Coturnix japonica: one gene and its partner. The protein of the gene in region 2 purifies or fractionates together with the protein of the main gene of each other region. This does not show direct contact. Links are inferred from orthologs where the notes say so. Each region holds a gene or a part of one and is shown on either strand. Other genes may lie near its edges.

The links. The genes of interacting proteins can lie anywhere in the genome.
Region 1: the proteins of EXOC2 (region 2) and EXOC6 purify together in Homo sapiens (affinity purification with mass spectrometry; 5 studies listed by BioGRID and IntAct, counting the BioPlex papers as one, with this or other methods). This does not show direct contact. The link is inferred for Coturnix japonica from reciprocal best matches to the Homo sapiens genes EXOC2 and EXOC6.

The regions. Positions count from the first base shown.
Region 1 is NC_029521.1:17,888,289-17,895,906, forward strand, and holds part of EXOC6 (exocyst complex component 6), read right to left. Parts: intron 7,392-7,618; coding exon 7,320-7,391; intron 6,670-7,319; coding exon 6,572-6,669; intron 5,627-6,571; coding exon 5,521-5,626; intron 4,610-5,520; coding exon 4,500-4,609; intron 3,499-4,499; coding exon 3,387-3,498; intron 2,170-3,386; coding exon 2,035-2,169; intron 1-2,034. UniProt on the Homo sapiens protein: Component of the exocyst complex involved in the docking of exocytic vesicles with fusion sites on the plasma membrane.
Region 2 is NC_029517.1:62,020,679-62,028,296, reverse strand, and holds part of EXOC2 (exocyst complex component 2), read right to left. Parts: intron 5,143-7,618; coding exon 5,074-5,142; intron 4,821-5,073; coding exon 4,663-4,820; intron 2,559-4,662; coding exon 2,437-2,558; intron 1-2,436. UniProt on the Homo sapiens protein: Component of the exocyst complex involved in the docking of exocytic vesicles with fusion sites on the plasma membrane.

The DNA.
Region 1 (7,618 bases), on a different chromosome or scaffold from region 2:
AAAAAGAATTGCACAGTTACCAGAATTCTAGAATATTACTAGAACACAGATTATATATTTTTCATCAATGAAACTGAAGTCTTACAGGGTTTATTTTTAGGGTAAAGTTAGCTTGTGTCTTGCAGCAGTAAGTCTGAAGTCATAGTTTTTATAAATTCCTGATGCATACTATAAATACACACAAGTATACTTTAAGAGAATAAACTAAATTATCAGAAATCAAGGAAATATATTTGAATTTGGAAATAAAAGAATTGCTTTACTCTCTTCCACAGCAATCATGTTTTATTCAGCTTTACAAATTTATTAACCCTGAGATAAGGTTTATTTGATCTCTACCAACTAAATCCACAGATTTATCTATTTTTGTTGAGAGTGACCACAGATTTAAAGAGGCAAAGGAATACGATGGTATCCACAACTGCACTCAGCCATCCAAAGCTGTAAAGTATGTTGTAAGTACTGAAAGCTACACAGCTTTTTAATATGATAAAATGAAAAACAGTGACACCGTTTTGAGGGCAGAGAGGCTGTTTATTTGTTTTTCTTTTGTACTTGTATTTACTTTTACACTGTTACAAAAGAATACTAGGAGAGTTTGAATGGTATTTTAAAATGGCATCTTATATCCAATAATAACAGGGGGAAAACAGCCCTCAGAAATAGCAGCAATGAAACATGTTTGAGGACTTCTTTTTTTTTTTTTTAAAAAAAAGGAAATAAAAAACAAAAGAAATTAAGAGACCCAAGAAAAACTACAGTATGGTTGCATTTTTGAGATCATCTCAAGGATTGCAAACAATGCTAATAAAGGAGATTTTTGATCACTCAGAAAGAATGGGAGTGACACGATTTGTCACCAGGAGACGAATTTAATAACATGCCAAACCCTATGGGGGCCCAGCTGGGGAACTACATGCAGTTTTTCATTTAATATAAATTTTTAAAAAAGGACTGATGAGAATAAGTTGGTTGATGAAGTAATTTCCTGTCTTATTTTACATATACAAATTCAAAAACTTGGTTTCGCAATATATAGCAACAACCTGGATGCATTCATTGTGTATGGAGATTTTCAATTATTAGTAACTTACAGCACTTTTAAAATTATTTTACAACTCATCATTTAAGTTCTTGCCTACAGAGAGAAACTGAGAAACGCAGAGGTTAAATGACTGATTTCTGATCTCGAGTTAGCTAGCAGCAAACCTTGACAGAGAACACTGCTCCTTTCAGTGCCATCCCAATGCCCTCCCACAGGATACCTTATTGCTCATGAGAATGCTTTGAAACCTTTCATGTGATTCCATACAGTATACAGGTTTGCTTTCTGAATGAACAAGGTTGAAGATTATAATCTCAACCATTAATTCATGGAGACATAAGTGACAAAAAAAAAAATTTTGGAAAAATCCTTCTCTGAGGATACTTATTATTTAAAGGTAAATAATAATGCTTTTTTTGTAGGTAATTATACACAAATATAATTGTTCATATCTAGCTCTATTTCCATTTTAACAAGCATTACTGCGCAAATAAATGTAAAGGATACTAAATAAAAACATGAATTCTACAAACAATTGGATAATCTATGCTTTGTAACACATACTAAATACTGCTTTCATATTATCATTACACAGTCTGAGAGTATACCGCAAACATAAGACATGTCAAATTACAGTAGCTGTTTTGCTCGATTCCATTCAGAAATGTGAAATATCACATTGCTTGGAGCTTAATCCATTGAAAGCTTCTGGTGCAGTCAAACTTTGTTTGTCATTCTGTAACTTAATAAAAAAGGCATCTGCAGGAATGTAGATGTTTCTCGTATATTAAATTCCCATACCAATAACATAAAAAACAATGTTTATCTGCTCAAGGTTAAAACTGAATTCCTAACAGATTTTTTTAGAATCAAAATGAGAAAATATGCAGCTCTCCCCTCACTCCCCTTTTGTTTTTAAATACATTAAAATCATTGCAAATGAATTAACTTTTCATATCTGGTTGCATAACGGGTAATATATACCATACCTTAAATGTAGAAAGTCCATACAGTCTGGCAGTGTGAACAGTCACTTGTGAAATATTTGTGATGTTAGAGATAAAATCCTCAAGGTATTTACAGGCTAGTTCCAGGTGCGTTGTGTTTATGATGATTTGAACAAGCTACAAGAAACAAATAATTATAATAAAATGCCTTTTTCTATTATTCATTGACATTTGATTTTTGTAAATGGGGGCTTCTTTCAGAAACAGTGTTGCCAGAAGTTTACTGCAGTATTTCAGGCTATCAGCTATCAACTGACAACATTCAAGTTAGCTTTCAAATACCGGTAAGGAGTAATGCCACAGTTTACATACAAATGCCATTTTAAAAAAAATGAAGATTGTAGATATCTACCCAGTGAAATTAATTCAACTGTTATTTCAGAATTTAAAAAAGGGGAAAATAAAGGATAACATATTGCCAAAATTAAATCACTAATTCATACTACAAAAGCAAGGAAACAAGAAAGCAAACATCATTGCTGCAATTAAAATAAATAAATACATCAATACATAAAAGCAATGTAGTAAGAAGTTCGGAAATTTCAAATATATGACTGCATCCCCCCCTAAATGGTAATAATACTGCTCTAGAAATAAATATGCACGATACTGATATTATTTACATCTTTTTATAGGCAGGACTTTCATTCATGTTCAGTTCATAAATTACACAACACAGATGCTGCATAATAACTGAAACAGTGGTGTATGATTTCTAATATCTTCACTACTTGCAGTCTGGCTCCAGTACCTTTTAGTGAACACTAATCTAATGTTAGGAAAAGTAACAGCTTTGTATTTTAAACTTTTTTATTATAACATACCATCCTGATATTTAAATACCTAAAAAATATTAGTGATTTTTTCATATTCTGTACCAATTTCAAGAATGTAGAAAACTTTCTCAGAATAATTTTATAGCTTGGCATACAAGTGTGTCAATATACAAATTAGAACCTTTCCCTCCTCATGATCTTCTTTTTATTTCATTTACACAAGAGATCCTTGCCATTTTTAAAGCAAAACTAAACATGAAAATTGCACTGCACTCATGGCAGCAGTCTAACTCCTTCCAGTAGCACAAGCATCATCCTTCAGTTCCAACTAGATCCACATTGGTTTTGATTGTTTGGTTGTTTTTGTTTATGTCACAGCCATTGACCCTTTTTTTTGTTAATACATTCCTCATCTCTTTAAAATTTCAATTTTAAAGTAAGCACTACTTATTTTCGTTACATAATCTCAATACTATATAATATCCACATTTACAAGAATAGTTTTAGCACCAATTTCCTTACAAGAATGCAGTTCTGGGTGAGTATTTTAAAACTTACCTCTGTTAAACCTATGTGAGGTTTCTTAATTAGGTTCTGTAAACAACTACTGAGAGTTCTTGTTAGCAGCAGATTCGTTGATTTTCTAAGCATGTCATCTATTTCCGTTGAGCTGAAATAAAAGTACATTTTTAAAACATGACAATACTTTGACAGTAAAACTCTATTTCTTCCTTACAAAGAGAACTTTTAGTATTCAGAATTATCCATGTGCTTGAATTTCTGGTTGCTTCAAGCCATCTGTGATCTAACACAAAACACCTCTTTCATTTACCAAATTATCCATTAACTACATTTCAACGTTGCAGAAAACCTGTTATTTTTAGATTTTGGACGTGTTTATTGACACAGCAGTTAGGAAGGAGTAATTTGTGTTTTGTAATGAGTTACCATGGAGGTCAACATGCACCAATTAGTACGTGTAAATTATAAACAGTAACAATTAAGAACGTGTGAAAGCAATTCATTTACATCTTTAACGGAGCAGAAGTGGGTGAGCAGTCACAAATAACTCCCAGATTTCAGACCTGCCACGTTATTTTACATAATTATAACTGAGCTTTAAAGCTTCACAAGAAAACAGGAGATGTCAGAAATGTTATATTTTCCTTTGGGAAAAGGTGGGAAAGAAGAGGGAATTAGCATGCAGACAGCATGTTGTGTTACAGGAAAAATAATTACTAGGGAAACTCAAAGCAGTGAAAATTGTAAGGTGTTTAAAGTAATCAGGGATGCTACACAATTATTTCTGAAATGATAATTATTAAAGTATACAGGCTTTGTTAAACAACAACAAAAAAATCTCCAGATTATCCAAATCAGTCAATACTGTTAAAAAAGCCCTAATGCTGCTTTGGTGTGTTCACTACACTAAGCAAAATTCATTTACACATACATGCATTCCATACCTACATGTATATACATACATGAAATATATATCATAGCACTGGGAATCACAGATAAAATATAACAAATTACACATGTAATTTAAGAAACAAACAAAGCAAGTAAGCACCCAGGAAAACCTATTTTCAATTTAATACAAATTATTAGTTTACCTGGAAGTTATGGGATAGTTTATACTCATTTGCATTCACAGTACTTATAGATTACCTGCGGTGAAGTGATTCTGAAAACTTAAGGCTTGCATAAATGAATTCCTTAACCTGGATATATATCTGAGGCACTGACTGAGACATCGGGAGCTTCTTTGGAAAGGACTGCTGTAAAAATAAAGATAATCCTCTGATTCTAAGGAGAGATTGGTATTAAATACTGGAAAATCACTTACCAATATTTCACCTATCATAAGTTTTTCCATTTTAAACCAAATATATTCTGTGGTGTGTATTGAACTGATTTCTGTATCCGTTTAAATACATTAAAGTTTGGAGTGTTGATTGTTCTCTATCAGCTATCTTCCTGCTGAATCATAAAATTAGATTCCATTTTCAGGTAGGTATCTGCAGCAGTGCATCTTGATTAAACCAGCTTCCCTCTACACCAACTACTCTCACTGTGCTTTAATTTCCTTATGTAAATTCTACCATGGGTTTGTTATTACTTGATCAGTTCCATCAAAACCACTTTCAGAAGGCAGAACATACTAATCACCCTTCCATGAAAGAAAATTTTAGAGAGAATGGCTGACGCTAAGAAAGAATATCCCACTGGGATGTCAGTACAGCAGAATTCTTTACAGCCTCTTCATATCTACTTTGTCCCACATATTCAGATAATAAATAACTAATTTACAAAGTGAAATAATGAAGTTGCTATCTCTAATACATTCCTGATGATCATTACCTGCATTGCTGCAAAACCACAGCATACAACATACCATGGGTTACAAAACCCAATGTTTTGCAACAAAATCTAAGTTAACTCATTAAATAAAGACTGGATTGATTAAAATGAATTATTAGTTTACAAAACAGTAGGTCTCATTATTCACTCAAACATCAGAGCAAGTGATTAGAGCTTTAATTTTCCTATTTATTTATGAATACATAATTACACTCTTAATCTACCAAGCTTTTCTATTTTTAATTACTTTCTAATTAGAAATATAATTTCTGTTCTAACCATTCCGAATTGGATTTTGGCAAATCTTAATAACAAAACTTTTCCTTACCTTATCAAGTTCTGAATCTTGAAAAGGAAATTTGCTTATAACTATTTTGTATTCTTCTTCATTTGCTACAGGAATAGGGCTGTAGTTATCTGCTTCAAAAATATCCCTGGCAAATTAGTTAATAAAGCGAAAAAACAAGAATATTTAATTTATTAATAGTATTTTACAATAATAAAGCATACTAATGAATATACAAATTACTACTACATTTACGTGTGCAATGTTAAAATATTATGAACTGGAATCATTCTAGTTTCAAAAGTCTGAAATATGTTTAGATGAATTCAAAAGTAATTATTATATGACTGCTCTTTAAGCTATGTCCAATCACAGAGTTAAAAAAAAAGCTAAAAACATTTATCATGCATGTCCAAAAGCAGAACACAGTAAAGGAACTTCAGAACAACAAGTCTATTCCAGGAAAAACTGTAAGGAGAATCTTAAGTGGTCGATTTAATTTTAAGATTTTCTGTAATATGATTCAACACCTTTTATGGTAAACAAAATCTGAAAATTTAGACATCATACTCTATATCTGCAAACAGACTTTGGAGTACAGTTCCACACTGCTCTACTCCTGGGTTAACTATTCAAAAAATGATTCCAAAGAACACATGGAAACCCTCTTGCACTGAAAGAACATGAAGACATTGGCAACATCAGAAGTGTGTCAGTAATATACACATAATGTCCAACATTAAACATTATGACAACCTAAATTAAGAACATATTGGCAACAGACTATTGCAGTTGTCTAGGCTGATTAGGTTACTAATTAAGAAAAACAGGTGTCCTTCTCTTGGTATTTCTCCAGAGAAGTCCCTAAGAGGGAATGTTTCTTCTCTCCATTAATTACAGATGCAGTCCTTGATAGTTCTTCTCTAAAATATTAGTTACACGCAACGAATACATTAGTTCTACCTAATCCGAACTTCATGTGCAGCACTGACTCAGTCAATTCTTCCAGAATTACAACTGCAACAAAATTTAAAGACAACAAGCAATAAATGCAATATGGAAGGCACAATTATTTTTATATACTAATACTAACCTGAACAATCCAGACCACTTTTTAAGAAGTGTTTCATTGTACTGGTCTCTTATCTCAAATAAAAGATCAAAGAGTCGATTCACAGGGAAACCATAACCCTAAAGTATAAAAATGAAAAGGATGGATAATTCCAGTACTAACTTGCTCATTCTTATTATACCTTCAAGCCTCTACAACAAGACTGATCAATCTTATCATTTCTACAAATCAGAAGGTACTACTTCAAATACACAACTTAAAGATCGTTACATTCTTACAAAATATTTTTTACCATGCTTTCAGCTGTCAAGCAAAAATCTGTCCCATTTTTCTGTAACATTTTAACTTGATATTTATGCAAACAGCTAATCTTTTTTTTATCAGGCTGATAATATTTGCCAATGATATTCATTTGGTCATCCCCCTAGACAGTTAATGATAGCAGGACTGTTCATTCATGTTTAAGTTCAGAAGTAAAGCATTTACAAAGGACAAAAATGTTCACAAGATACAACGATAACAGAAACATAGTTATGAATATGCCGATGCTAACTGGATCAACCAGAATACACACATTCAGTTGGTAACAGTGAAAAGGAGGATCCAGGGCATAAAATACAGACATTTTTATTATTTAAAACATTATTCTGTAATTTTGCTCTTGACTTATATAAATGCGACATCAGAGGATCCAAAATATTGTACTCACTCACCTGAAGTTCAAATTTGGCCCTATGAATTTCAGTTAAATTGCTAATATAATACCCACCTGTAAAGTATCAGCAAATACCACAATGAGATTCTTCAGTTCCAGAACAAGGTCAGGATCATTGCAATATGACTGAAAGTGAGAAATTCTGGTTTTGTTAAAATGATTCAGAACACTGGACATATGTTTTCAAAGAACATCAGTACAAAAGAAAGGTTGAACTCTCCAGCCTTACCTGTATCCCTGACTGGCTGCCTTGATTAAAACAACTTAGACTCACTACCTTCATGCAGTGTAGTTACATAAAAGCATTTTCTCAATTTCTTATACAAACTAACATAAAAGCTCAGAAAAAAAAT
Region 2 (7,618 bases):
GCATATATACTCATAATTAACAACTACAAAGAAGCTCAAAATCACCACACAGGTTTAAGGGTGTATGGTGCTAAGCTTTCTTCAAAAATACATGAAATATATAACAAATTCCTCCGCTATCCAAAAGGTACCAATTTCAACAGGCTTACTGATCCTAACCCAGAGTTATGACAAAATATAAATCCAGAGCTCTTGTTCTGCAAACGAATTCCACTATGGACAAACTTAAAATGATGTAAAATAATTTCATTTTTTGGCTTAATTGACTTATAAACAGAAATCAGATAGAACTCTATAGTTCAGATGGGCAAAACCAGGTCAAAACGCACAGTGTCCCCATGGGCAACTAACTGCTCAGAACCATCTTATATCACAAAACATCCTTTTATATGAGGAATTATTTCAATGAATTACCATCTCTTCCTTAAGGCCAAGAAAGAGTGTAACTAATGCATGCTGAAGAGTATCTTTGCTACTCTAGATGCCTTAGCTGCTAATTTAAAAAGCTTGACAAAGTGGCAACATCCTGCAATTCCACATCTCATGGAAACAGTCTTATTGAGAATAAAATGTATTTAGAGATCGTAGAGAATAATGACTGATTCTTTATTTTAGCAAAGCACCAATTTAAACGGTACTTCTGTGGGGCATTAGATCACGCTGGTCAGCTTTTTTGTTGGCTTTTTTTTTTTTTTTTAAATTCAGATCTGAGCTAGCAAAAATATATACTAAAAAAACAATCAATCTAAAAAAAAACAACACAACCCCCCACCCCTCAACAACAACAACAATTAATTTCAGTGAAATAATTCACCATATTCCAGTCAAATACACTCATGTAAACTCCCTGTCTGATTTGGCATTCATCAGTCTGGGTTTCATGACCTTTATGACCAGTGAACGCACACGACAGAGAAAGAACAGAGATTGCTCTTGAGTGCTGTATATAAAATAACAAGAAAACCCTCTGTGTGGGCAGATTCATCCCACTTAAATAGCTAATGGTAGAATGATCTATCAATTGATCTGAATGACCCTATCAACTTATGACATGGAGTATGAGATTGAGCCTTACATTAATAGTCTCTGCAGCTCATAATTCAGATAGCTTATAGAGATTCAAGCTCGAGAAGAGCCCTTCAACTAATACAACATGGGTAGGTCTGAGACCAGTTTACATAGCCCAATGAGAATACCCATTAGTTGTTCTTTCATCGATTCTCTAAAAACAACAGTTTCTCCAAGGGTCCAACTAATCCAGTCTTGTCTAAAAAAATAATCTATGAGTAAGTAACTCACAGAGATCAATATCTTCATATTTCAAGTAAAATCTTAAACAGTGATAATACTTGCCCCACAGAGTGTAAGAAAGACAATCAGTACACCAGTATGGCTAATATGCTTGGTATTAATGTAGGCAAAATAATATTAATGCTGAAGTGGGATTTAGTCAAATAAGAGACAAAAATACAATTAATATTAATGTTGTATAGAATAAATAATACAGACTTTCACACTTGTCACTGAAACTTTAAAAATTTGTTTAATGAATGTAGTCACCCACACTTAGCACTTTTAAGGCTTGAGTAAGATGCTTAGATTCATGTCAATTAAATAATGACAAAATGTATAATAGAGAAAAAATTGATTAAACTGTAAATTTAATTTGAGAAGGTTATTAAAATTGTTGTTTTAGCATTGAGGGTAATTAATCCCTCTTAGGAAAAAATGTTGAACTATTAGTCTGAACTTTTATTAAGAGGGAGATTTATTTCCGCAAGATTTACTTCACTTGAATTCAAGTTTCAGAATTAACTACGAGTTGATAAGATGAATTGCCTCTGATGCACACAGAATCACACTACAGAATGTATTATTGGCCTTTATGATTCTGACATTTATGACAAAAACTACGTACACTGTTGGAAGCACAAGGATTATATTGTTTATGTTGTAAATATGAGAATTACACTGTGGAAAAACCCACAACTAGAATATTCCACAAAGGGTTTTTTTTTTTGTTTGTTTGTTTTAAATTGGGCCGGGGGGGTATAAGGAAGACCAGGCAGAAGATAGGGGGTAAGAGCTGGACCAGGGGTTTTGGGGCAGAGGGCACTGCCTATTTAATTATTCACTCTGTGGAAGAACTCAAAAAAGAAAATAAGTGGTATTTCCAATACAGAAAAGTTGCATGATGAGATAAATCACTTGCATTATAAAACTGCCTCAGCTAAGAGAAGACAGATTTCAACTACAGCATCCATCCAATTAAGGGAAGAAAACATTCAGAATACAGAATTTTCTCAGAGTAGCAAAATATTTCAGTAATTCTTGTGAGATATTACAGAATTCACTGTCAATTAAACAACTGTAACAAACACAATTATTGTCTTGAATCTGGTTTGGTGAGCAGAGAGAGATGCAGTCTTTTATTACCTTCAGCTGTGTGTTGCAAAGTCACTATAATGCAACGTACTCGAAGGTCTAAAATAAGATCCTGGATGATCTGAAGCATATCATTAGGTATCTCAAGTGCAGTAAGAGACTCAGAGCTAAGCCTGGAAAGAAAAGAAAAGAAAAAAAATAACATGTAAACCTATAAGTCTTTTAAGCTGATAAAACTACACAAATCTTTTTAAACTGGCTGTCAATACAGTAGCTTCACCCATATTAAGCCTCTGAAAACTAGCTACCCCATTCATAAGTTTACTTATTTGCTTAATTCATAAACATGAAAATATAGATTTATTTTTCCTATAACATTAATGTCAATTCTTGCACTTTTCCTCCTGCCTTCCTGCAATGATCTTGTCCTTTAATCTAAGATTCCTTCTGCAGCAGAGGTACCTTCTTTTGCTATGTATGTATACAGCAAATCTTAGGTCTACAATGAGGATACTGAATTATAGTCTACCTGTATTAAACAATAACAGTCATCAATAAATGGTGATGTAGCCATGTGTCAGATCATGACGGTATACACAATACAAAATACAGCTACTGCCAAGTGAAGAGCGAATTCATTAACTATTTTGTTGCCAGCAGTGACTGGCCTTATACCACCAGACAGAGTAGCAGAAGATGGAAAGATTCACTTCTATTTTTCCCTTTAGAAATACCAATACAACAGCTCCTTACAAGAAATAGCATTTTAGCTTTTTAAAAAATGACTGTAGGCTACAGACTGTAGTAATGGGCACAAAGTAAAGTTTATTGTTTTTATTTATCTCCTGGGTGTCTGAGCAAGGACAACTCAAATGTAGTTGTTGTTTCCCCTGCTGTTAATACTGAACAAAGCTCAGACAGCAGATTTTGACTTCTATCAGTTCAACACAACTACTGAATTTGTAAATTTAATAAATCTGCATTATCTCAGTCATCGATGAAACACAGGGTTTAACAGACATCTGTGAGAAGTTTAAGCAACTTTACACTGCATAAAAGTACGTAGAGCTGATTCCATTCCCAAGTAAGCACAAAGCTTTCAACACCCTCACTTTTCCTTCTATAACTGACCCCAATGCAAATACCATTCTATACCTACAATGAGGCTGAAGTCTTGCAGGCAATAGCTTCACCTTATATTAAGCTCCAATTTGTCCTCTGGAACCTACTCAACCCAGGGAATGACAGAGTGTGATACAAAGAACAAAGCTGCATAACCACCCCCCTCTGTGCTTTATGATTTTCCAAATACAAACAAAAAACAATTGTTTGTGAAATGACTGAAAAGAGCAGGATCCTATCAGGCGCTTCAAGATGAAAATACGTTGGGAATTATAAAGATATGACCTAAGATACTACATAAGTTTGCAACTAGTAAGGTTTATTTGCAATACACAGATTATTCAGAAGAGTCTATCTGCTTTGTTGGTGTGAGCACCTGGGAAGTGCTAAAAATACTCAACAAAAGGTATGCAACATTGCGACTCATCTCTAGAAAGAATTAACTATGTATGAGTTAACATGTGTAAGATAATAAAGAAGGGTACGCTTAACTCTAATTTTCTTGTTATTGACTTTGAAACTTGCAGGTAAAAAGTACAGTGTCAAATCTAGGTATTACTTGAGTTTCCAAAAGCTAGTGATGATGCTTACATTCTCCATAGAGAAATGGAAGCAAATTCTGTACGTTTACTGAGACATTTTGAAATTGATGACACGCACACTAATAAGTTTATAAATAAACAATTATAAAAAGAATGACATCATGACATCACCTTTCATAAGACAGTTAAGAAAGTAAACAGTATCTTAAGAATCACACTATAGTAGAGGCATGTCATTTTTACCCATTTTGGCAGAAATGTGAAGATGGGAAGATGCTAATTGCAAAGCTTCCTAATAATTCTACTCTAAAGAATCAAATCCCACCTCATGTAAATTATTTAATCAAACTTCTACCTAGGTTCTCTGGGTAAAATAAAGAGATTATAATTACATAGTAAGACTATGAGACACCATGAATTAAACTTGGACTCAGAATCCTAAATCTTCCACAAGCATTTTTTTTGTGATTATATTTTTGAAAAGAAAATTAACTTTCTCAGTACTCAGAGTATTTAACAAAAAAAAGCAACCCACAAACCCAAAACAATACGTGCTAAAAAAAGTACACATTCTAGCAGTAACAACATATTGCAGGTCAACAGCTTCATTTACCTTACTGTCTGGATAACATGTGTTAGCCACTGGCCAGAAAGTTCAGATTTCATCTCCCAGCCACCATACTGTCTTGATTCTCCTTCTTTGAGGCTGAAGGGAAGCAAAGCTCCACGGATAAGTTTCTCCAGGGAATGCATAACTTCCTGAATCATTTTCTGTATCAGAATAAGGGAAAGCAAAATCAAACAAAAGACCTACCAGTATGCTTAAGCAGGAATGCATGTACTTGCTATATATAGCACCTTGTAACATTAGATTTACATAAGGCTCCTCATGCTAGAGAGTCTGGAAAGATGAGGTATAAGGGCACACATGATTTAAGAAATCTGGTTTTCAAGGTGGTGATGCTTAAGCATCCTGCTTGGAAGGGCAAGTGAAAGAAAGCAATGTTTCCTTGCCATAACATACCTTGAAATCATTTTGTCTTTGTCTAGCGTTTTTCTTTGATTTTTCCATTTGGCCAGATTTTTCAGCAGTCTGGTGAAAATGAGAAAATTGAAAAGTGTAAGTATCTCATAACCACTTTTAAAATAATTCTGAAAAAGGGGGGTTTCAATGTGAAGAAGTGAAAACCAATCACTGAGTTTGTGATGTAATTATAAAAACTAACTCACGCTATCTGAACAGGCAGAGACTATACCTGACAATGAACTTTACTTCCAGTTGGTCAGTGTGCTAATGTTTAGTTCCGAGGAACAACGTTTATTTGAAACAAAGCTGGAGATAAGTCCAAGAGCAGCTCATATAAGACAAACATCATAAAATTAAACTACTCTCATTGAAATGTTAATGAGAACTACAACATACATAGCCTAACTGTGCAACAGATTTCTATGAAGAAATTATATTCTCCGCATAGAAGCTACCCAGATAAGAATACTGACATGAAGTGACAGATGCTTTATGTAATGTGAGCAATTTGGAATTGCAATGTGTGTAGAAGATGGTATGCTTTTTAAAACTTAATTTTTTTTCTGCTCATGTGCCTATAGAAACAGTATTGTGCTGAAAATATTCTTGAGACAATTCAACTGACTGAAAAAGAGACACTGCAAAATAATCAGCATCTTCATGGACAGTTCACATTTCTGAAAATGGAGGAACATCAGCACACTTTGCATGAGACAGTTACAGTTGAAGAAAAACGTGGTTTGACTAATAGTCTTCCTGTTTGTAGTACAACTTTCTGTGGAGTCTACTGAGAAACAAAGCAAATTATAGAGAAAAAGCCATTCAAAATACCATGTTAAGTGTAGATACAGCTTTATACTTAGAAAATCTCCTATTTTATGTATGTACAGCAACATCTACTGGACAAAGAGTGCAATAACAAGACAATAGTTTATTCTCAGACTAAGTTTACTTTCAGATTATTAAACTAAAATACTATCATTTGAATTCCATCTATGTTACAGATTTTTAGGATAAAATAAGCATTTTGAATTGAAAATAAATTAGAGAAAAATAGAACCACAGAACTTAACAGTTTTGGAAAATAAAGCGCTATGAAACTGTTATACTCCAAAGCTGAACTCTAGAGTTTCAGACAAGGAGAACAAAGCTGAAGAATTACTGCTGTACATAATAACCATTTCCCTCTTGTAATGCCTGAAAAACAAAAAGAAACTGCACTCCTTTAAACCTCAAGTATCAAATTAAAATTCACACTCTTGCTGCTGGATTAAAGAACAACAAAAAGTCCAGAAATCTTTGATATGCCTTTTCTCAGTGGTTTTGCTGAAGATCAATCTTAATTCTTTCCTGCACAGACAGACCAAAACTATTTTGTGGTAAGACCAACGGTTACTACTCAGATACGCTATTTCACCTAGAATGATTCAAAGAACTACCCTTTTTAAACTGTTGAAAATATCACGTAAATCTTTAACTGACAGTATTGGAAGACACACGAGATAACCTTTCAGAAGTAAAAAAAAAAAAACAACAAACCTACCCAAAAAAACCTACAAACCAAACAAGAGAAAATAAATACAGCTTATTATTAATAAGTGGGGATTTTCTTTTAGATTCATCAAAGTCCATTGAAATGATCCTCTATACCATTTTCACAGGATTTTTCTCACAGAATATTAGCAGCAAAGATGACTGCTTCCAGAACGCCAAGTTTCAATAATGATAACAAACAACAAGAGACACGGTAAATATATTTCTTAAAAGACATATAAGACCTATATGGTTTCTTATAGAAAAAGATGTCAGGCTCAAGTCTTGAATGAGATGTGCTGACAGATTCTACTAGGTACCCTGGAATAAACCTTCCAAGTTATACCACTACATTCTCTTTGCTCCTCTCAGGTGACTTGTGGCAAGCAGATGCTCAAAAGGAACTGAGAACACAGTCCTTCCTCCTGTTTCCAAGAACAAATGGATCTTACATGCGGATGAAAATTGGTCCTATGTGTGACCAATGGATCAGAAGAAGCCATGTATATGGAGGAGAATTTCTTAAAAGCTCAGAATCTGGCCCAACAGGAGAATACAGACACTTTGCAGACTAACAGGAAAAGCACTTTTGCCCCATTCCTCTCCCCACCAGCCCTCCCCCCCCCCCCCCCCTTTTTTTTTAATAACTAACATGGAAAACATGTTTTGATGGGACATAAGGTCACTGTAATTTCCATTAGCCGTTATTCTCAAGAGCAGAATTTCTCAACCTCATTTACAGTTCAAGTCTCGGCTTCCCTTGAAATTGCTTTCCTTTTCATTGCACTCAGAGAAAGAAAATCACAATAACTTGCAGTTGAATTTGTGAAGTCAAATTTCCAAAGTGCTATTATCAAATACAAAAGTCATTTCCCTTACGAAATGAACAATTTTTGTGAAAGTCAACAGTATGAAGTTTATTCTTGATTCCACTTCTTTCACACAATGTTATGAGTAAATGCAAAACCTTTCTTTCAATTTTTTATCAGGTGAAAATATGATCATAAAT